Saccharomyces cerevisiae S288C: one gene and its partners. The gene in region 1 interacts genetically with each later gene. Each region holds a gene or a part of one and is shown in the gene's direction. Other genes may lie near its edges. The genes, in order: SLM1, MME1, MBA1 and ISC1.

The links.
Region 2: mutations in SLM1 (region 1) and MME1 together harm fitness more than expected from each alone (negative genetic interaction), as found in Saccharomyces cerevisiae (2 studies listed by BioGRID).
Region 3: mutations in SLM1 (region 1) and MBA1 together harm fitness more than expected from each alone (negative genetic interaction), as found in Saccharomyces cerevisiae (2 studies listed by BioGRID).
Region 4: of SLM1 (region 1) and ISC1, a mutation in one rescues a mutant of the other (synthetic rescue), as found in Saccharomyces cerevisiae (one study listed by BioGRID).

Annotation. Positions count from the first base shown.
Region 1 is NC_001141.2:165,447-171,265, reverse strand, and holds SLM1 (phosphatidylinositol 4,5-bisphosphate-binding protein), read left to right. Parts: upstream 1-1,624; coding exon 1,625-3,685; downstream 3,686-5,819. Other genes in the region: Hsp90 cochaperone SHQ1, read left to right, coding at 1-1,284; YIL105W-A (uncharacterized protein), read right to left, coding at 3,462-3,602; MOB1 (Mob1p), read right to left, coding at 3,822-4,746, 4,832-4,851; PFK26 (6-phosphofructo-2-kinase), read left to right, coding at 5,505-5,819. UniProt on the Saccharomyces cerevisiae protein: Together with SLM2, acts as an effector of the TORC2- and calcineurin-signaling pathways. Phosphorylated and activated by TORC2 under favorable growth conditions. Mediates actin polarization via inhibition of calcineurin-dependent transcription.
Region 2 is NC_001145.3:591,233-596,427, reverse strand, and holds MME1 (Mme1p), read left to right. Parts: upstream 1-1,954; coding exon 1,955-3,061; downstream 3,062-5,195. Other genes in the region: mismatch repair ATPase MLH1, read right to left, coding at 1-1,542; phosphatidate phosphatase PAH1, read left to right, coding at 3,800-5,195.
Region 3 is NC_001134.8:596,989-601,668, reverse strand, and holds MBA1 (Mba1p), read left to right. Parts: upstream 1-1,709; coding exon 1,710-2,546; downstream 2,547-4,680. Other genes in the region: PCH2 (Pch2p), read right to left, coding at 1-1,116; YBR184W (uncharacterized protein), read right to left, coding at 2,735-4,306; YPC1 (phytoceramidase), read right to left, coding at 4,604-4,680. UniProt on the Saccharomyces cerevisiae protein: Mitochondrial inner membrane-associated mitoribosome receptor that spatially aligns the mitoribosome exit tunnel with the membrane insertion machinery and allows cotranslational protein membrane insertion.
Region 4 is NC_001137.3:190,561-195,773, forward strand, and holds ISC1 (inositol phosphosphingolipid phospholipase), read left to right. Parts: upstream 1-2,236; coding exon 2,237-3,670; downstream 3,671-5,213. Other genes in the region: AAA family ATPase AFG3, read right to left, coding at 1-1,228; kinetochore-associated Ndc80 complex subunit SPC25, read right to left, coding at 1,399-2,064; Arf family guanine nucleotide exchange factor SBH2, read right to left, coding at 3,713-3,979; GPA2 (guanine nucleotide-binding protein subunit alpha), read left to right, coding at 4,608-5,213. UniProt on the Saccharomyces cerevisiae protein: Responsible for the hydrolysis of the phosphosphingolipids (IPS), inositol phosphorylceramide (IPC), mannosylinositol phosphorylceramide (MIPC), and mannosyldiinositol phosphorylceramide (M(IP)2C).

The DNA of each region.
Region 1 (5,819 bases):
CTGAATAAAAATGAATATTTCGAAGATTTGGACCTACCGACAAAGTTGTTGGCTAGGCAAGGCGATCTTGCAGGTGCCGATGCATTAACAGAAAATACTGATGCGAAAAAAACCCAAAAGCCCCTTATTCAAGAGGTCGAAACTGATGGCGTGTCGAATAATATTAAAGATGATGTGAAGACTATTGGTCAAATGGGAGAGGGGTTTAATTGGGAGATAGAGCAAAAGATGGATTCCAGCACCAATAATGGAATATTGAAGACAAAATATGGGTTTGATAACTTATATGATACAGTTATATCAGTGTCGACAAGCAACGGGAACGATATCAATGAATTAGACGATCCTGAACACACTGACGCGAACGATAGAGTTATTGAAAGGTTAAGAAAAGAAAATTTGAAGTTTGATCCTGAGTACTATGTTTCCGAGTATATGACACATAAATACGGTAACGAGGAAGACTTGGAAATTAACGGCATTAAAGAACTACTGAAGTTTACACCTTCGATCGTAAAGCAATACCTGCAATGGTACAAAGACAGTACGAACCCAAATCTGGTCATGCCAATTGAGTTTACTGACGAGGAACAAAAACAGATGCAGGACAATTTACCCAAGAAGTCTTATCTCGTGGAAGATATAAAACCACTTTATGTCACTATACTCAGCGTTCTTTTCAGTTATGTGTTTGAACAGATCGAAAACGAAGGTACTCATACCACAGAGAGTGCTTGGACCATGGGAAAATTGTGCCCTCAAATATCATTCTTAGACCAACAATTAAAACAGGTGAACGAACTGCAAGACGGTATGAAAGAAATATCAAAGGTTAATAAAGACAGCTCTCTCATCAAGATTGCAATCATTACAGGTATCAGGAGAGCCCTGAGTTATCCACTACATAGAAACTATGACCTAGCAATGAAAGCGTGGACATTCGTATATTATATTCTACGAGGTGGTAAGAGACTAGTCATAAGGGCGCTTTTGGACATTCATGAAACATTTCGTTTCCATGATGTTTACTACGTCTACGACAAAGTTCTCTTGGATGATCTGACTGCGTGGTTCATTTCTCAGGGTAGTGAGAACGTCATAAGAAGTCTGGCCTTGGAAATGAGAAAAGAGCAAGAGTCACTTTCCAAGCAGGATATTGAATTTGAATGTATTGCATCGTTCAACGAACAAACTGGCGAACCTGAGTGGGAGACACTAAATATAAGAGAGATGGAAATTTTGGCAGAGTCTGAATACCGAGAGCAGCAGCAGAACCCACAATGAAGATCATTTGAATGTTTAGCGTAGATTACTGCATTAGATAGAGTATATATTGATTAACGTTCCTGCAGGGGCCTAAAATTGGGTTACCCTTCTCTTCCCGCGGCTTTTCCCCTCATGGCATTACGTATTCCATCGAAGAAGGGAGAAGGCTTTCAAGCCTTGAAGAGTGACAGCGATCCAAGCTGGGGGGGGGAAAAACAACGAGGACATCTGTTGAGCCCTTGAATTGGTACAACCTATTAGAGTGTTCTTATATCTGCATTTGGTCATCTTCTTTTGAAGCTTTTTAAAGAAAAAAAGTAGTTAACAATAAAAGAATACAACATTAAAAGAAAAAAAAATGTCGAAAAACAACACAATGACCTCTGCGGTCTCTGATATGCTGTCACAGCAACAGCTAAATCTTCAGCACCTGCATAACTTGCAGCAGCATACGAGAAGTATGACTTCAGCAGATCATGCCAACGTTTTACAACAACAGCAACAACAACAACAACAACAACAGCAGCAGCAGCAGCAACAGCAGCAGAGCGCAAGCTTTCAAAATGGCAGTTTGACATCCGATATAAACCAACAAAGCTATTTGAATGGACAACCAGTTCCTTCCACTAGTAATTCAACGTTTCAAAACAATAGGACGCTGACGATGAATTCTGGAGGGTTGCAAGGTATCATAAGCAATGGTTCTCCTAATATCGACTCGAACACCAATGTAACCATTGCTGTCCCAGATCCCAATAATAACAACGGGAAACAGCTCCAAGGGAAAAACTCTTTAACCAACACTTCAATACTGTCGAGGGCTAGGTCTTCCTTACAACGTCAAAGACTTGCTCAGCAACAGCAACAACAACAAGATCCTAGATCTCCATTAGTAATACTGGTCCCTACAGCTGCGCAACCAACAGATATTCTTGCAGCGAGGTTTTCAGCTTGGAGAAATGTCATCAAGTCGGTGATCGTTTACTTAACAGAAATCGCTTCTATTCAGGATGAAATTGTTAGACAGCAACTAAGATTATCACATGCTGTACAATTCCCATTCTTTTCGATCGAGAATCAATACCAACCAAGCTCGCAGGAGGATAAATCAGTACAAAAGTTTTTTTTGCCATTGGGTAATGGCTCGATACAGGACTTACCAACAATTTTGAACCAGTATCATGAATCCCTAGCATCCAGCGCGTCTAAGGCATCAAGGGAATTGACCAATGATGTTATTCCTCGTTTGGAAGACTTGAGGAGAGATCTAATAGTCAAGATAAAGGAAATAAAATCACTGCAGTCGGATTTCAAAAATTCTTGTTCCAAAGAGTTACAACAAACAAAACAGGCCATGAAGCAATTTCAGGAGTCTTTAAAGGATGCGCGCTATTCAGTGCCAAAACAAGATCCATTCTTAACCAAGCTGGCGCTTGATAGACAAATTAAAAAGCAACTTCAGGAGGAAAACTTTCTGCATGAAGCTTTTGATAATTTAGAGACTTCAGGCGCTGAATTAGAAAAAATTGTAGTTATGGAAATTCAAAACTCTTTAACAATATATGCCAGATTACTGGGACAAGAAGCACAATTGGTTTTCGATATATTGATATCCAAATTAGATTCTGGATTTTTCAACGTTGACCCACAATTTGAATGGGATAACTTCATTTCAAGGGATCCCAACTTTTTATTGCCTAATCTACCGATGAGGACATTCAAAGAAATCGTTTACAAATACCAATTCGATCCTTTGACTTATGAAATCAAATCAGGGTTTTTAGAAAGAAGATCAAAATTTCTAAAATCCTATTCAAAAGGGTATTATGTGCTGACACCGAACTTTTTACATGAATTCAAGACCGCGGACAGAAAAAAAGATTTAGTACCAGTGATGTCGTTAGCATTAAGTGAATGTACTGTGACGGAACATTCCCGGAAAAACAGTACATCATCACCAAATTCGACTGGTTCGGATGCTAAGTTTGTGTTGCATGCTAAGCAAAACGGCATAATTCGTCGTGGTCACAATTGGGTTTTTAAAGCCGATTCTTATGAATCAATGATGTCTTGGTTTGATAATTTGAAGATCTTAACATCTACTTCGAATATACAAGACAAGTATAAATTCATAACACAAAAATTAAACTTGAATTCAGATGGGAAACCCAAGCTAACCAATAACCATACCAGCATTAATAAGTATCAGCTGAGTAATGCCAATAGCACAATGGTAGAAAATGATGAAAACGATGATATAAATAGTAATTATGTGGGGTCCACGGTAACACCAAAATTGGACAATCAAACAAATACGAATACATCCATGTCTTCATTACCTGATACTAATGATTCTGAATTACAAGATCAAGTTCCCAATATTTATATTCAAACTCCAATAAACGATTTCAAATCATAAATACAAGTATAGTAAACTAGAATGTTTTTATTTCCTTCCATCCATATGTTATATTAATATGTTTCCGTATTTTTGTTTTTGTGTCCCATGCATGGAAGAATACAACCTACAAGCAGACTTATATAAATATACAATACTACCTATCCCTCAACTCCATCACTAATTCTAACAGCGGACCAAAATCAGCCGGTCTTAGTAGTTCGAACTCTTGTGCAAAAAGACAAAAATGTCTAAAACTTGTGTTTAGTACGGTTTGTAAATTTAGTTCAAGAATTTCATTAAAATGATGACAGTAAATATGCGCATAAACTCTGAATAATCGCCTTAGAATTGGTTGAATTACTCGTTGGATGAATCCCTCCGGGAAGGTACCGGTGACTTTGGAAGGAAAAAGAGATTCGTCATCAAATTGGTCTTGACACCACCTCATCAAACATTCCACATACTTAGGGGCACTTACCGAAACGGGGGGCTGACCCTTTTGAAATGCCCAAAGATATTCATATTCGTTCGTCGCTATCATCCTCGGGCATGTTTGTGGGGAGCAAAATTCTGTGATGGACCCGTATAACATATTAATCTGATTGTAAAAATCCACGCAATGAACCGCTAGCCATTCATTCTCATCCTCACCACGCGGTAACTTCACAGCTTGGTTAAGGACTCCCTCAGACCCCAGTGTCATCTCCACAATTTGCTTGATGTCTTGATGTGTTGTAACTGTCGTACCTGCTTGCGGTTGTAGAAACGGCTTCTGATGCGATGGTGTATAGTTAAAGTCCGTTACATTTTGTAATTGTTCAGGCGGAGGGGCGTGCCTCTTTGGCGTAGTGAGGACGGGAGACATCCTTCCATGGTCGCTTTCATTATATCCGTTTACTGGATTGTTTGTAAAATCTGCTCTATTGTTAATAGTATTGGCATTATTATTATTGCCGTTAATAGTATTGTTATGGGGAGTTGCCTTAGTAGGCGATACAGAGCCTGCATTATTAGCTGCATTGGCAGTATTCCACTTGAAACCTCTAGTAGATCTTATTGTTTGGCCGGGACTTATATGACTGCTTTCAAAAGGTAACTCATACCCAGTTTGTTAATAAAAGATGAACAATAATACTTGAAGTAGAAAAGAAAATAGCAACATACAAATTTTGTAGAAAAGACATGGAAATTGAAGTCCTTATTGAATTAGGAAAATTTTGTTGAAGATACTAACAAAAAAACCGGTTTTCTCTCGAATAAACTAAAAAAATATCTATACAGCTCAAACGGGCTGAGCTAAGGCTCTTTTAGATCAGTAATGTTACCAAAGCTATAATTGTAATTCTTCTAACGTTTTGATATTTCCATTTTGGGAAGTAGTATTACCCTTCTTTTGATCGAACGTATTTGTCATATTATACGAGTGGGATACCCGACCGATAATAATAATCACGTTTATATCACGTGATCATCTCTGAATACCAAAATCACAACATACGGAAATTAGGGGACATAAGATTTTTTGAGGAGAGATTTCTTTTCCTATTTATTTTTAATCGCGCCATTACTGACAATAGCAAATTAATTTATAGTGGAGTACATGGACTATTTATTATAGATTTTGTTGGCATATTCTTTTTTTAACAATAAAAGGTATACATATATATATATAGACAAACTCAAGTATTCAGTTACGGGTAAATCAAGTGAAATAAATTTCGCCTTTTAGTATCTATTTGTGTACTTTTGTGCCATAAGCTAAAAGAGTAAAAATAATAACAAGAGGCGTAGAAGAAGGGTTTATTCAAGGGAACAAAGGCAAGAGGAATAAAAGCTCATGTTCAAACCAGTAGACTTCTCTGAAACATCTCCTGTGCCGCCTGATATTGATCTTGCTCCTACACAATCTCCACACCATGTGGCACCTAGTCAAGACTCCAGTTATGATCTTTTATCCCGGAGTTCCGATGATAAAATTGATGCTGAAAAGGGTCCGCATGATGAATTATCTAAGCACTTACCACTTTTTCAGAAAAGACCTTTGAGCGATACTCCTATATCGAGCAATTGGAACTCTCCTGGAATCACTGAAGAAAATACACCTTCTGACTCTCCTGAAAATAGCGCTACTAATTTGAAATCGCTACATCGA
Region 2 (5,195 bases), on another chromosome or scaffold:
GATACTCGTAAGATTAACATTAACTCGCTCCTTAGGTACTCTAATATACCCGTCTTTTGAAATCGGGAGTGCATTCTTTTCGTCATCGGCAATGCTTGGAACTTTATAATCCCCCAACTTTTGTTTCTTCTTAGGTTGATCCTTCAAGTCATTATCATTGATTGTATTGGCATCACGCGGTTGTTCGCTTTCATTTAGTGTCAGCTTTTCTGCCTCTTGGGAGTGGCTTACATTTGTTACCTTGGGTTCACTCAGTTGTCGCTTTGTAGACGATCCTTCAAAGTTGAACTGTTGACTTGAGGATAAAAATGACGTAATTTTAGCTTGTGAAGCATCTATTCTGACTAGTTTATTCTCTTGTCTTTTCGCTTTCCTTAGTTGACTATTGGCTGTCGTATATGAATTCTCTACCACTTGGGCTTGTCGGAGACTCTTCCTATTCCTATCACTTTCTATGGTGTCATTAAATGGTATCAATGACTCTGGCTTGTTTGTTGAAATTGAAGAAGCCTTGAAAGTACGTGAAGTATCAATGGCAGATAATTCGGCGTGCAATTGATTGGCGATTTTCTCTATGATCTCATCTTGGCTCAGGAAACGAACCTCTCTCTTTGTCGGGTGAACGTTAACATCAACAGCCGCCGGATCTATAACAATTCCCAAATAAATAAAAGGTCTGTTGCCCTTTGGCAGATAATTGGAGTAAACGCTGTTCAAAGCTCTTCTTAGAAGATCACATGTCACTAGTCTATTATTAATGAAAAAAATTGGTGAAATGGACTTTTTGGATATGAAATTCAAATTACACACCTTTCCATCAACGCTTTCCAGGTTTAAATCTTCTACTTTGCTGATATGAAAAGTAATTAAATTCGAAGCCACAGATTTATTGAACACAGTCCTAATCCTATCCTGGACGGTATATGAAGGTTTAACTGATAAAGAATAATTAGAGTCTCCGAACTTTTTACAAGAAAAGCCAATGTCCTTGGAATGAATGGCGTATCGCCCGACAACATCTAATATTTTAGAGTATTCATCATTATGGGACCTCAAGGCCCTTAATCTAGAAGGAATATTGAAAAAAAGGTCTTCAACTAGGATCGTGGTACCGTCTTTTCCAGCAACAGGTTTGGGGCTTTCCAACATCTTACCTTCTGCATATGAAACTCTCCATGCACATCTGTCTTCTTTAACTTTTGTCGTTACTGTGACTCTTGCCACATGTGAGATACTGGCTAAAGCTTCTCCTCGGAATCCATACGTTTGAATCTGACTCAAATCTTCGAATTTTTGTAATTTGGACGTCGTGAATCGCTCACATAAGATTGGCAGGTCTGCTTTATTAATTCCAGATCCGTTATCTGTTATTTGAAGTACCTTAATTCCTCCTTCCTTGACTAGAATATCAATCATTGTAGCATTCGCATCGATGGAATTCTCCATCATTTCTTTGAGAGCATTTACGGGGGATATTATGATCTCACCTGCAGCAATTTTGTTAACCACTGATGCATCAAGTGCTTTTATTCTGAGAGACATTGCTTATTGATAGGTCTATGTTATTTTTACCTTCCATTTACTATCACTATCGTATCAAAATTTTGCAGTTAAATTGTCCTAGCATGCTAGCGCGATTACTAAACACCGAAAACTGCTAATTTCTCGTCTTCGAGAACTCCTCAACTATAATGAAACAGCAAGCGGTCTCAAAAGTCTTTGGCAATAGCAGCGCCTCCTACACTATCTTTGCATGCAATAGAAGGTATCACATTCCTATTTTTCTTGCGATTGAACTCTAACTTGACATCTCTAGGACCCTACAACGATAGCGACTTCTTACATTGTGTTCATTAATTTGAAAAAACATCAAAGCAAGCCGAAAACAAACGCTGAGTATTCTAACGAAGCACGCATAATAATCTTCACTTCCAACCGACTGGTATAAAAGATAATGAACTCATGGAACCTGAGTTCTTCAATACCGATAATACATACGCCTCATGACCATCCCCCGACATCAGAAGGAACTCCAGATCAACCAAATAATAACCGAAAAGATGATAAACTGCACAAAAAAAGAGGCGATTCAGATGAGGACTTAAGCCCTATATGGCATTGTGTCGTCTCCGGTGGGATTGGTGGAAAAATAGGAGATTCTGCGATGCATTCATTGGATACTGTTAAGACAAGACAACAGGGCGCACCCAATGTCAAAAAATACAGGAACATGATCTCTGCATATCGTACCATTTGGCTAGAAGAAGGCGTGAGAAGGGGGCTATACGGCGGTTACATGGCTGCCATGTTAGGCTCCTTCCCGTCAGCGGCAATCTTCTTTGGGACCTATGAATATACTAAGAGAACAATGATAGAAGATTGGCAGATTAACGATACCATCACACATTTGAGCGCTGGATTTCTTGGCGATTTTATCTCCAGTTTTGTTTATGTTCCATCAGAGGTCCTAAAGACAAGGCTACAATTGCAAGGAAGGTTCAATAATCCTTTCTTTCAATCTGGCTATAATTATTCGAATTTAAGAAATGCCATAAAGACAGTTATAAAAGAAGAAGGGTTTCGCTCACTATTTTTTGGATACAAAGCCACTTTAGCCAGAGATTTGCCATTTAGTGCATTGCAGTTTGCCTTCTACGAAAAGTTTAGGCAATTGGCTTTCAAGATTGAACAGAAAGATGGTAGGGATGGTGAGTTGTCTATACCTAATGAAATATTGACTGGTGCCTGTGCAGGTGGACTGGCGGGAATCATTACCACACCAATGGATGTTGTTAAGACTAGAGTCCAAACTCAACAGCCGCCCAGCCAAAGCAACAAATCATACTCAGTAACACATCCACATGTAACAAACGGCAGACCGGCAGCACTTTCCAACTCGATTTCGCTCAGCCTTCGGACGGTCTACCAATCTGAAGGTGTGTTAGGTTTCTTTAGTGGCGTTGGCCCTAGATTCGTCTGGACAAGTGTTCAGAGCAGTATAATGTTGCTTCTGTATCAAATGACCCTACGCGGATTAAGTAACGCATTTCCAACGGACTAAGAGCCTGATTTCTGGCTCATCTAACTCTCTAGAGGATAATTTTATGTGATAAAACTTTTCCTACAAGCGGCTACAATAAAGACAGTACAAGGGACCTCACCCTATTCGCCATCACTGCACATCACAGTGGGTCTTGTACTTATCATTTCACATACATAGATATAGGTTCTTCCGAATAAGTTTTGTATATAGTCATTTACGGCAAGAATACTCATCTAAGTTTAATACGCATTTCTCTCTTCGTTCGCAGTTCCTAACACTGAGCGTTCTTGTTTGGAGGGCTCGTTTAAAAAAAAGTCTAACAAATGTGACAGATTTGCTTGAACAGGGTCCAAACTCATCTTGTATATCATAACACTACATCACTGGGAGACAAAATCGAAGTGCCCACGTGCTGCTCATTCTCTAAACGGTCTGTCGCGGGCCCTTTTCGTCCTTCGGTTTCCCTCCCTTTAGACAATGGGCTCTCTTTTCTCTATTATCTATCTCTTTTTCTCGGCTTTTCCGGCCAGCGTTGAAAGCAGCGCACGGTGAGGGTAGAAGGAAGAGCAAGGACAAGTGAAGAGTAGGCCATCGTGGGGGCTTGTGTTTATAAAGAAAATACATTCAACAATTTAGTAAAACGTGTTCAAGAAGTGTTAATCAGACCAATTGGACACTACACCTTCGTAATCACAGTTTTACCTTCTAAGAAACATACAGGGAAGAAATTACTGAAGATAGACACATCGGTCGATTATGCAGTACGTAGGCAGAGCTCTTGGGTCTGTGTCTAAAACATGGTCTTCTATCAATCCGGCTACGCTATCAGGTGCTATAGATGTCATTGTAGTGGAGCATCCAGACGGAAGGCTATCATGTTCTCCCTTTCATGTGAGGTTCGGCAAATTTCAAATTCTAAAGCCATCTCAAAAGAAAGTCCAAGTGTTTATAAATGAGAAACTGAGTAATATGCCAATGAAACTGAGTGATTCTGGAGAAGCCTATTTCGTTTTCGAGATGGGTGACCAGGTCACTGATGTCCCTGACGAATTGCTTGTGTCGCCCGTGATGAGCGCCACATCAAGCCCCCCTCAATCACCTGAAACATCCATCTTAGAAGGAGGAACCGAGGGTGAAGGTGAAGGTGAAAATGAAAATAAGAAGAAGGAAAAGAAAGTGCTAGAGGAACCAGATTTTTTAGATATCAATGACACTGGAGATTCAGGCAGTAAAAATAGTGAAACTACAGGGTCGCTTTCTCCTACTGAATCCTCTACAACGACACCACCAGATTCAGTTGAAGAGAGGAAGCTTGTTGAGCAGCGTACAAAGAACTTTCAGCAAAAACTAAACAAAAAACTCACTGAAATCCATATACCCAGTAAACTTGATAACAATGGCGACTTACTACTAGACACTGAAGGTTACAAGCCAAACAAGAATATGATGCATGACACAGACATACAACTGAAGCAGTTGTTAAAGGACGAATTCGGTAATGATTCAGATATTTCCAGTTTTATCAAGGAGGACAAAAATGGCAACATCAAGATCGTAAATCCTTACGAGCACCTTACTGATTTATCTCCTCCAGGTACGCCTCCAACAATGGCCACAAGCGGATCAGTTTTAGGCTTAGATGCAATGGAATCAGGAAGTACTTTGAATTCGTTATCTTCTTCACCTTCTGGTTCCGATACTGAGGACGAAACATCATTTAGCAAAGAACAAAGCAGTAAAAGTGAAAAAACTAGCAAGAAAGGAACAGCAGGGAGCGGTGAGACCGAGAAAAGATACATACGAACGATAAGATTGACTAATGACCAGTTAAAGTGCCTAAATTTAACTTATGGTGAAAATGATCTGAAATTTTCCGTAGATCACGGAAAAGCTATTGTTACGTCAAAATTATTCGTTTGGAGGTGGGATGTTCCAATTGTTATCAGTGATATTGATGGCACCATCACAAAATCGGACGCTTTAGGCCATGTTCTGGCAATGATAGGAAAAGACTGGACGCACTTGGGTGTAGCCAAGTTATTTAGCGAGATCTCCAGGAATGGCTATAATATACTCTATCTAACTGCAAGAAGTGCTGGACAAGCTGATTCCACGAGGAGTTATTTGCGATCAATTGAACAGAATGGCAGCA
Region 3 (4,680 bases), on another chromosome or scaffold:
TATATTTTTTGACGATTCTCCAAACCATTTAGAAAAGATGCGTGCACAAGACAATTCTATTATTATCCCCTTATAATTAGTATCAATGGTATCGGAACCGTCTGAAAATTCCCGCCTCACAGATAATTTTTGGCAAAGTGCTTTGCATAACGTTGTTTTACCTGTTCCCGGAGGACCATGGACAAGGAGTAATTTATTATTTGTGATTAGCGTTGTAATGTCTTCTTGATTGGAGTCTCCAGTTTGTTTGAATCTTGCTATCTTGAGAGATATAGTTGCGTAGCTATATAACCTTTCTTTAATATTGTTACCAAAATACAACGATTCCCATTGGCCCTCGAAAGTTGTGCCTGGAAGATATGATATATTTACTAAGTTTAGTGTTTGCTTACTTAGTGGAATGTCAAAATTTCCCACCGAATTGATACAATTGTTTAAAGTTTCTCCCTCAAAACCATCATCCTCGTCTAGTTCTAAGTCAATCTTGTCGAACTCTGTGGACAGTATGCTGCCATTTTTCAGCTCATCTTGCTCTTCCAGACAGCAAAAGGGATATATAATGAACTCGTCAACAGATCCCATGTGATAAGTGTCCGACTCGTTGGTCTCCTCTGAATCTAAAATAGAATCTATGTGCTGACCCAAATTTATTTTCTCATGAAAGTTCAATTTAATAGAGACGTGTGATGTGGACTGTTGCTCTATAGAAATTTTTTTAACGAATAAGGATAGAAACAAATTATCTTGTCCTTCATTTACTGTGTTAACTTTGCCATTTATGCTTGAAAACTGGTGTAATAAAACTTTTGCTAGGCTTCTAATCAAATGTTGTTGCGCCTCCGTTGGTGGATCCTTAATTTCAATACTTCCTTGCCCCTCTCTCATTAATTCTTGGCCAGTTATAATCGAAGTCTTTAAACGGTCTTTTGGGAAACTTTCCAACTTCCTCTTGACCACTGCTTTTAACAGATTCAAAAATTCTCCCAGCTTTTTGTTGCTGTTTTGTTTCGAGTCAGAACCAGAATGTAGAGAAGAAATTTGCTCATCCTCTCTAAACATACATTTGATAACCCTCAGAGATGATCCTCGCACTTGTAGGTCAACTATGTAGCTCATATCCTTATTTTATGTCTTCAGTTTGAGATCAGAATATTTTTATGAAAATGTTGTCACTCTCTTTTAACCGCCTCGCATTTCGTAGATTTGCCGCCCACCTTATTGTCAACGGCAAATCTAAGGATATATATACATATATATATATTTTTGAGAAAGATTATATTTTCGCCAACGATGAAAAAGAGAAAAGTACAGTACTATGTATTATGTGTTTTTCAACTCAAGAGAGGGGCAAACATATAACTGGTGCTATATATGATTAAGGCTGCGCTCAAATATACTTCTTACTTAATTGACTGAACAATACGTTGATAAGATGAAGGAAGAGTCTCAGATATTGGTTTCACAAAAAATTCAGAGAATGGAGTCATTTCGGTTACGGGCAATCTTTCGGTGATTGGTACGGAGTATCGCGATCTTTACACGTTCCACTAGTCAATCCAATCCAATTTATTCATTTGTCCGTAAATATTCTGCCGGCCTTCTCCCCATATTACAAAATAAAAAAATAAAACCTGAGTAATGGAATAGTTGGAAAAGCAAGGCAAATTTCCATCAGAAAGCAAGCCTATCCATTCAGCTAAGCTTATGAGATGAGTGTATTAAGATCTACATGCCTTTTCTTCCCTCCAAGATCCTTGTTGATATCATTTAACAAGCGGCGATTATTTTCAACTTCGAGGTTAATTTTGAATAAAGAAAGTGAAACTACAAAGAAGAAAGATAAAAGTAAGCAGCAAGATTTTAATCCTCGGCACCTGGGTGTTGCTGCCGAAATATTTATCCCCTCGGCTTACAAGAACCTTCCAAATGTATTTGCTCATCCTCTCATTGTTGCAAATGCATTGATCAGAAGACTTTACACGTTTGGTTTGAACTCTGTTCAAGTCGCATTGTTTCGTTTTCAATCAGGCATTAAACCTTCTTTTTTACTCTGGAAAAACAAAGCCATAGAGACGTATATCAATGTAAACACGTCATTTGCTCATAAAAATTTGTCGGACATCAAAGGGTTAGTTTCATTATGGGTTCAGGAAGCTCTCGAGGCTAGGTCCCGTCAACTTCCAGGTAATGCAACACTGGACTGGCAGTTGATAAAGTTTAATGCAGTTCCTAAACTAGTCTCAGTGCAACCAATCATGATTCCCGGAATGCCGTTAGAGCATTTACAGTTGGTTTACAAATTTGATACGAAGCAAAGACTAATTAAAGTCAATCAGCAAACTAAGAAGACTGAGACGTTAGACCGTGACGTTGTAGACTATATTGCCTTTTTGTGTGATGCTACAACTAATGATATGATTTTAATGGGATCTTTGTTTGAAAGTAAACCAAATGATAAATTACCGAAAAGCTACGAGGACGATGCTAAAGTTGCCATACACAGAATGAAAGTTAACGGTGATATATATCGTTTACCTCCAAGCTAAGGCAATATGTATATAAATGCGAAAAGTTTTGGAACATCTGTAAATAGCCATTGCTTCATTTGAGTTTCTTATTCCACATACCACTTACATATTCAGTAAAAACTATTCATTTGTTTTTCATTCTGAAGTATATATATTAAATTTATTAAATAGTTTTTCATGAAAAAAGTTATTGAAGCATCTCCCTTTCAATAGTGCATTAACTCTCCCATTCTAACCCATCTTTCCGTTGAATCGTCATAGAACAATGTTTCTGACAGATTGGTTTTCCTATAACGATCTTTGCAGCACAATCTGTGAAATAATTTCCATAAGCCGGTAAGAATAGTCCTGTTATAGCTGATACTACCTTGTACATAATTCATATCACTGAGCTTTGCTTCATCTTTTAGAGGCTGAGACTTCTCAAAACCTTCTGCGCTATCCAAACGATAGGTGCTGATTTCTTTTAATGCCAATGAATTATTAGAACACTTCCTACATTTAAGAACAACCTCTTCCTCGGACCTTCTCTTTCTATTTTCTGTATCAAAAGAACTGTCTTTTTCAATTGCTGCTGTGTTGTGAGGAATAGATCGATAAAGTACTTTTTTTTGCCCTGTTCGAATAACAAAAAGAAATAATGTCAATTCATTTGCACTGTAACAGTAATCAGCGCTAAAACCCTTAGGATGATATCGATGATTTGAAAGTATAATTGTGAAGCCACTATATATATCACGCAGTAGCGTAAACTGTGCTGCTTCGGACTTCAAAAGTTGAATAGCGTATCGTGTGCATTCCCAAATATTATCGACAACGTTTGGATAGAGAATAAAGGATGTGTATACGGTTATTTCATGATGGGGTAGAAAACTGAGTGTAGAAGAAATATTTGCAATACAATTCGATTTAACTTGAAGTTGATAATTAAAATTGCTGAAGAAAACTCCGCTATTACAATTTTCAGAGGTGACTATTAAGTCATTTCTCTTCATTTGTAAAAGTGAGAATAATCGTAATATTTGCTTACAGTAAGGAAGACGTATCGCATTAGGTATCTTATCTTCTGAATTGTAATCATATCCGGAAACTTTTTTGGTTCCTCTTACTGCTGCAAATAGAGACGAATCTGAAATATCTCCCTCTTGTACGTCTTTTTTGGGTAAATCAATATTTCCCTGAATTTCTTGGACTTTAGAACATGAAAGATTTTTCCGTTTGCGATTTTTATTGCGTCTGCTAGCAATCTTCTCTATAAGTGCACATATGTCTTCATTGGGGATTTGGGACCAATTCTGATTTTCTATATCGGTATTTTGATTCTCATTTGTTGGGAAATACTTCGTCTTTTGTAATGGGGCAGATTGCCTTCTAGTTTTATTTTTTTTATCTGCTATGTCTTCTAAAATTTTACAAATTCTGCTCGTACTGAGTTGAGACCAATCGTGCCCTTTCTCAACATGGACGTTTTCCTTCTTGAGACATGGGATAGTTTTCATTGATAGTTCCATTTTGTTTTCACTTGCGCTCGTTTTGGCATGTTGAATGGCATCCGCCAGCATTCTTGCTTTTGGGTAATAAGGACAAATATCCATTATATCCAAATCTTCCTTTTCCTCATAGCCTGTAAAATTATTAGGTTCGGATACTGTGTGCTCTATGTTGTTATTAAATGTTATTATTGGTCTTTTGTGGTTTCTTAATATTGTTCCACTATCGTATTGAAAGTTTGATTTTTCAGAAGCCAAAATAGCATTCAATACATTATTTTGGTACATGTCCCGAATTAGCTAACAAATTTCTTAGTATTTGTGTTACAACAATTAGAGATTTTGTTTTGTTTATTTACTTTCATCAATTCACGTTATTTTGCCGCCGACGGCTTTGAGACCGCACAAAGTTTTTTTTCACCAGAGCAATAAGCTGGGTCATTTAAACTATTCGCAAATCAAGGATTCAAAAGATCTTTTCTTAGATATATTTTCTTCGTGATTCGTCATTAAATAGAACATGAAATAAAAAAAATAAAAAATAAATATGCCTATACATTATGAATATATATTATGCTATAATTATTACTTCTCCTTTTTAACTTCAATTGATTGATCTTCTACGTATGGGCCAAATAGTTCAAGTGAATATCTTGTTGAGG
Region 4 (5,213 bases), on another chromosome or scaffold:
CTCTTTCATCGTTAGCGCCACCGAGAGCGCCGCCTTTGCCTCTTTCTTTACCGATAGCGTCAATTTCATCTATAAAGATAATCGAGGGGGCCATAGACCTTGCTTGAGTAAACAAGTCTCTTACACGTGAAGCACCCACCCCAACGAACATTTCGACGAACTCAGAACCTGATACTGACAAGAAGGGCACGTTCGCCTCACCTGCGGTGGCCTTGGCCAAGAGAGTCTTACCGGTACCTGGGGGTCCAGAAAGAATAGCGCCTCGTGGAATCTTGGCACCCAATTTAGTGTACTTACCTGGGTTCTTCAAAAAGTGAACAAATTCCATGATTTCCTGTTTAGCTTCATCACAACCGGCAACATTTTTAAATGAAATTTTAATGTCTGTTTCCTTATTGAAGAGCTTTGCTCTGGATTTTCCAACATTAAACATGCCGCCGAGGCCTCCTCCACCACCACCATTGGCATTTGGTGGTGAACTATTTATTTTTCTGGTTATGAAGTAAAGGCCACCAAGCAGAATGATGGTGGGCAGGAAGGGGAACAAAAATGTGAAGGGAGAAGATCTCTCAATGTATTTGATGGGGATACGATCCCGAGGAGGAATGTTCAAGAGGTCCTGGATCTGGTCCATCTGTTCCTCAAAAATATCTACTGAACCAATGGTGAACGATACAACTTGCTTTGTATTGACTAATTCGGCCTCTACGAGAAACTTATTAACGACGTAAATCTTGGACACAAGACCCTTCTCCAGGTATTTTGTTTTGAAATCCTGGAAAGTCAAGACGCGGTTAGAGTCGTCTCCTGAGTTGTTACTGGAAGGTGTGAGCAAAGTAAATATAATTGTGAATCCGATGGTCAAAAACATCGTATTAGCAAATTCCTTAGATCTGAAGTATTCTGATAATGAACCAAACTCATTTCTTTTGTCTTTGCCATCTTCTTTATTGCTATTATTATCTTTATTACCATTGTTCTTGCCCTCACCCTCTTTGTTTGGCCTATTTTCATTTAACCTTGTCCATGAGATATGGAAGGAACGTATTTGGGTAGAACGGTGTATTGTGTTTCTGGTTGCCAGACCAGATAACGTCTGCAAACGCTGGTGAACTGGCATGCGCGAGCGAAGCACTGGCTTCACTGTTGATATGCGGCTAGCTTTACCAAATGAGAGTGATGTCAATGAGCGTGGCGCACCCCTTGCATATCGTTGCCACATCATCATCACTTAGTATATTATAAAATAAGTGGATGATGCCTTTATTTGAAGACTGCGTTAATCTCCTTTAATATAGAATGGGTCCTTGTAAAAGTTATGTATAGACAGTAAGAACCAATTTATTCCTCATCTAAATCATAGGCCCAGAATAAACTGAACAGATGCGTATAAAGGCGTTATAAAGATGCCAGAAGCATATCGCGGGCCACGACTAAAAATGCCGCGAGGTCGCCCTGGACGGTAAGCACGTGCTCAAGTGTTGCCCGACTCTTGGGGTCCAGCGCCGGGTGAGAGTTTCCGATCACGTGGTCTCCGTGCATCGCGACTTCGATCCAGCAGCGTGAATCATCGCCGAATACGAAACGTACGTCATGCACATCGCTGGCTCCGGGTAGTACACGAAGCTGCAACAGCCGTTCGTACAGTGCGACCTCTGCGGCATCGTTACCCGACTGCGCAGCCCAACGTGCGCGTAATTGGACACACTCTTTACCACGCTGTTGCAGCAGCGAGTCCAGCTCGCGCGATTGGGCTGCTAAGGTCGACTGCCGTCTAGATAACTCAGATTCACGCTCGTGATAGCTTCTCCACTGCTCTCTGGTGGTATTTGTAGCTTGTTGGGCCGCATGTATTTGTTGCTGCAGAGCGGTGCGCTGGGTGGCAAGCCGTTGCAGTTCATCTATGAGATGTTGGTGTTGGTTATGTAATTGACGCATTTCCGCTTGGAACTGTTGCAGCTGTTGGCGCGCGTGGTTTTGCTGACGTGCCAGTACCTGGGCCACGTCCTTTTGGAACCCGTCCATCCGGCGCTCAAGGTCCGAAAATGCGTCTATGCTGGCCATTCTTGTATGTGTGTATGTGTTGTATACGTATGAGCGGTTTTAATTGAATCGGCTTAGCCTGTTTTTGTTTTTGTTTTTGTTTTGTTTTGGTTTGGTTTGATTTATTTTGGTTTGGCTTAAATCTTCGAGGAAATTTGCGCTTTCCGCGTAAAAAGGGAAAAAAAGCAGATATATGTACAACAGAAAAGACAGAGATGTTCACGAGAGGAAGGAAGATGGTCAATCTGAGTTTGAAGCACTGAACGGGACCAACGCAATTATGTCCGATAATAGTAAAGCGTATTCCATAAAGTTTCTGACCTTCAATACATGGGGGTTAAAATACGTCTCCAAACACCGTAAAGAAAGACTCAGAGCAATTGCTGATAAATTGGCGGGCCACTCAATGCTTACGCCAATATCTGACGAGTTGTTGCCCAATGGTGGAGATAGTAATGAAAACGAAGATTACGACGTGATTGCCTTACAAGAAATCTGGTGTGTGGAAGACTGGAAGTATCTAGCTTCTGCGTGTGCCTCCAAGTATCCGTATCAGCGTTTGTTCCATTCTGGTATTCTGACGGGGCCTGGGTTGGCCATACTGTCCAAGGTCCCGATAGAGTCGACCTTTCTTTACCGGTTCCCGATAAACGGTAGACCGAGTGCGGTGTTCCGTGGCGACTGGTACGTAGGGAAATCTATAGCAATCACCGTATTGAACACAGGAACCCGCCCCATTGCAATAATGAACAGTCACATGCACGCCCCATACGCCAAGCAGGGTGATGCCGCCTACTTGTGCCACAGATCTTGTCAGGCCTGGGATTTCAGCAGGCTCATTAAGCTTTACAGGCAGGCCGGTTATGCGGTGATTGTGGTGGGTGACTTAAACTCCAGACCGGGCTCACTGCCCCACAAATTTCTCACGCAGGAGGCCGGCCTGGTCGACTCCTGGGAGCAATTGCATGGGAAGCAAGACTTGGCGGTGATCGCTCGTCTGTCTCCATTGCAACAATTGCTTAAGGGCTGTACCACGTGCGATTCGCTGCTCAACACATGGAGGGCCCAAAGACAACCCGATGAGGCATGCAGGTTGGATTATGCTCTTATCGACCCTGATTTCTTGCAAACAGTAGACGCAGGTGTCAGGTTCACTGAACGGATCCCTCACCTGGACTGCAGTGTCTCTGACCATTTTGCATACTCATGCACCCTTAACATCGTCCCACAGGGCACAGAGTCCCGTCCATCCACCTCCGTTAAGCGTGCGAAGACTCATGATAGAGAGCTGATCTTGCAGAGATACTCCAACTACGAAACCATGATAGAATGCATCCACACGTACTTGAAGACAGCCCAAAGACAGAAATTTTTCCGTGGCCTACATTTCTGGGCCTCAATACTTCTCCTAATAGCGTCGTTGGTCGTGACAACGTTTACTGCAAACAAGGCAGGCTGGTCCTCCATCTTCTGGGTCCTTTTCGCTATTGCTGTCTCCATCTCGGGCACCATCGACGGTGCCATCTCCTTCTTGTTTGGCAGGTCTGAAATCAGAGCCCTCATCGAAGTCGAACAAGAGGTTCTGGACGCGGAGCACCACCTGCAAACTTTCTTGAGCGAGAAATGATATTATCGATTTTCTTTAGCATATGTAAAAAAATTACTGATATTATATAATGTGTGTAAATTTCGTCAATAGATGCAAAGCAATCACGGAGAAGATGAAACCGACAGATAGGAACAATACGACAAGGGAGTCGACTCTGAATCCATTGGCTTCGTCCGTATATAACTTCAAAATTGAGCTTGAAGACCCACCGTAACCAGCCTGTCTGGTGGAAGTGGGCGTTTGTTTTGCTTGCTTTTCCTTAATGGATTGTGCCTGTCTTCTCTTCTGCAAGATACGCTGACCTCCTGGTGGAACTGAAGCTGCCATTCTTATGATACTGTTGATCGATAATACCACCTGTTTTATGCTTTGCGCCCCTTACCTTTTCTCACACGCACATATATCTACTCTCTCATACCTCTTATATCTAAAATGTCTCTTTTGGCCAGTTAGTAACTGAATGAAAAAGTGAAAATGGAGGAAAAAAAAAAAGACGAAATCCAAAAGGCTAAGGAAACGGGTAACCCGTGGTACCCGGGGCAGAATCAAACTTATAATTACTAAAGATATACCATATATTACGATCCCTGCGCCCGGCGTGCTCCACATTAAGTAAATGTCTGGAGTAAAATGAAGTCCGCCAATTCAGTCACAAAACATGACTACTGCCTCGTTCGCGATTTCTTCTTCCCTTACTTCATCATGTTCAAGCCCCCTCAGCTGCGCCCAAATGATTCTTCTTATCCTCTTGCATACTGCACCGAAAAAAAAAGTTAATAAGCAGCAGGATTTATAGGCGCGTGCGTGCAGCCTTAGACTGAAGGGGTGGAAAAACTTTAGGTAGGTTTGGTTCTCACTACCCAAAGAGCAATCGATAGGTATAAAAGTGAGCAATTGCTATCACAGCGAGCCTTATTGTTACAGCACAAATCACGCGTATTTTCAAGCAAATATCATGGGTCTCTGCGCATCTTCAGAAAAGAACGGCAGCACTCCTGACACGCAGACCGCCAGCGCTGGTAGTGACAACGTTGGCAAAGCGAAGGTACCACCAAAGCAGGAGCCACAGAAGACTGTGAGAACAGTCAACACAGCAAATCAACAAGAAAAGCAACAACAGAGGCAGCAGCAGCCGTCTCCGCATAATGTTAAGGACCGCAAGGAGCAAAACGGGAGCATTAATAACGCGATATCTCCCACGGCTACGGCAAATACAAGCGGATCGCAACAGATCAATATCGACTCTGCCCTGAGAGACAGGTCGAGTAACGTTGCAGCACAACCATCATTGTCGGACGCTTCAAGTGGCAGCAACGACAAAGAACTGAAAGTGCTACTGCTGGGTGCCGGTGAAAGTGGTAAGTCCACGGTATTGCAGCAGTTGAAGATTTTACACCAGAACGGGTTTAGCGAGCAGGAAATTAAAGAGTACATCCCCTTGATCTATCAGAATCTATTGGAAATTGGCAGGAACCTCATCCAGGCGAGAACAAGGTTTAACGTCAACTTGGAACCGGAGTGTGAACTGACGCAACAAGACCTGTCGAGAACCATGTCCTAT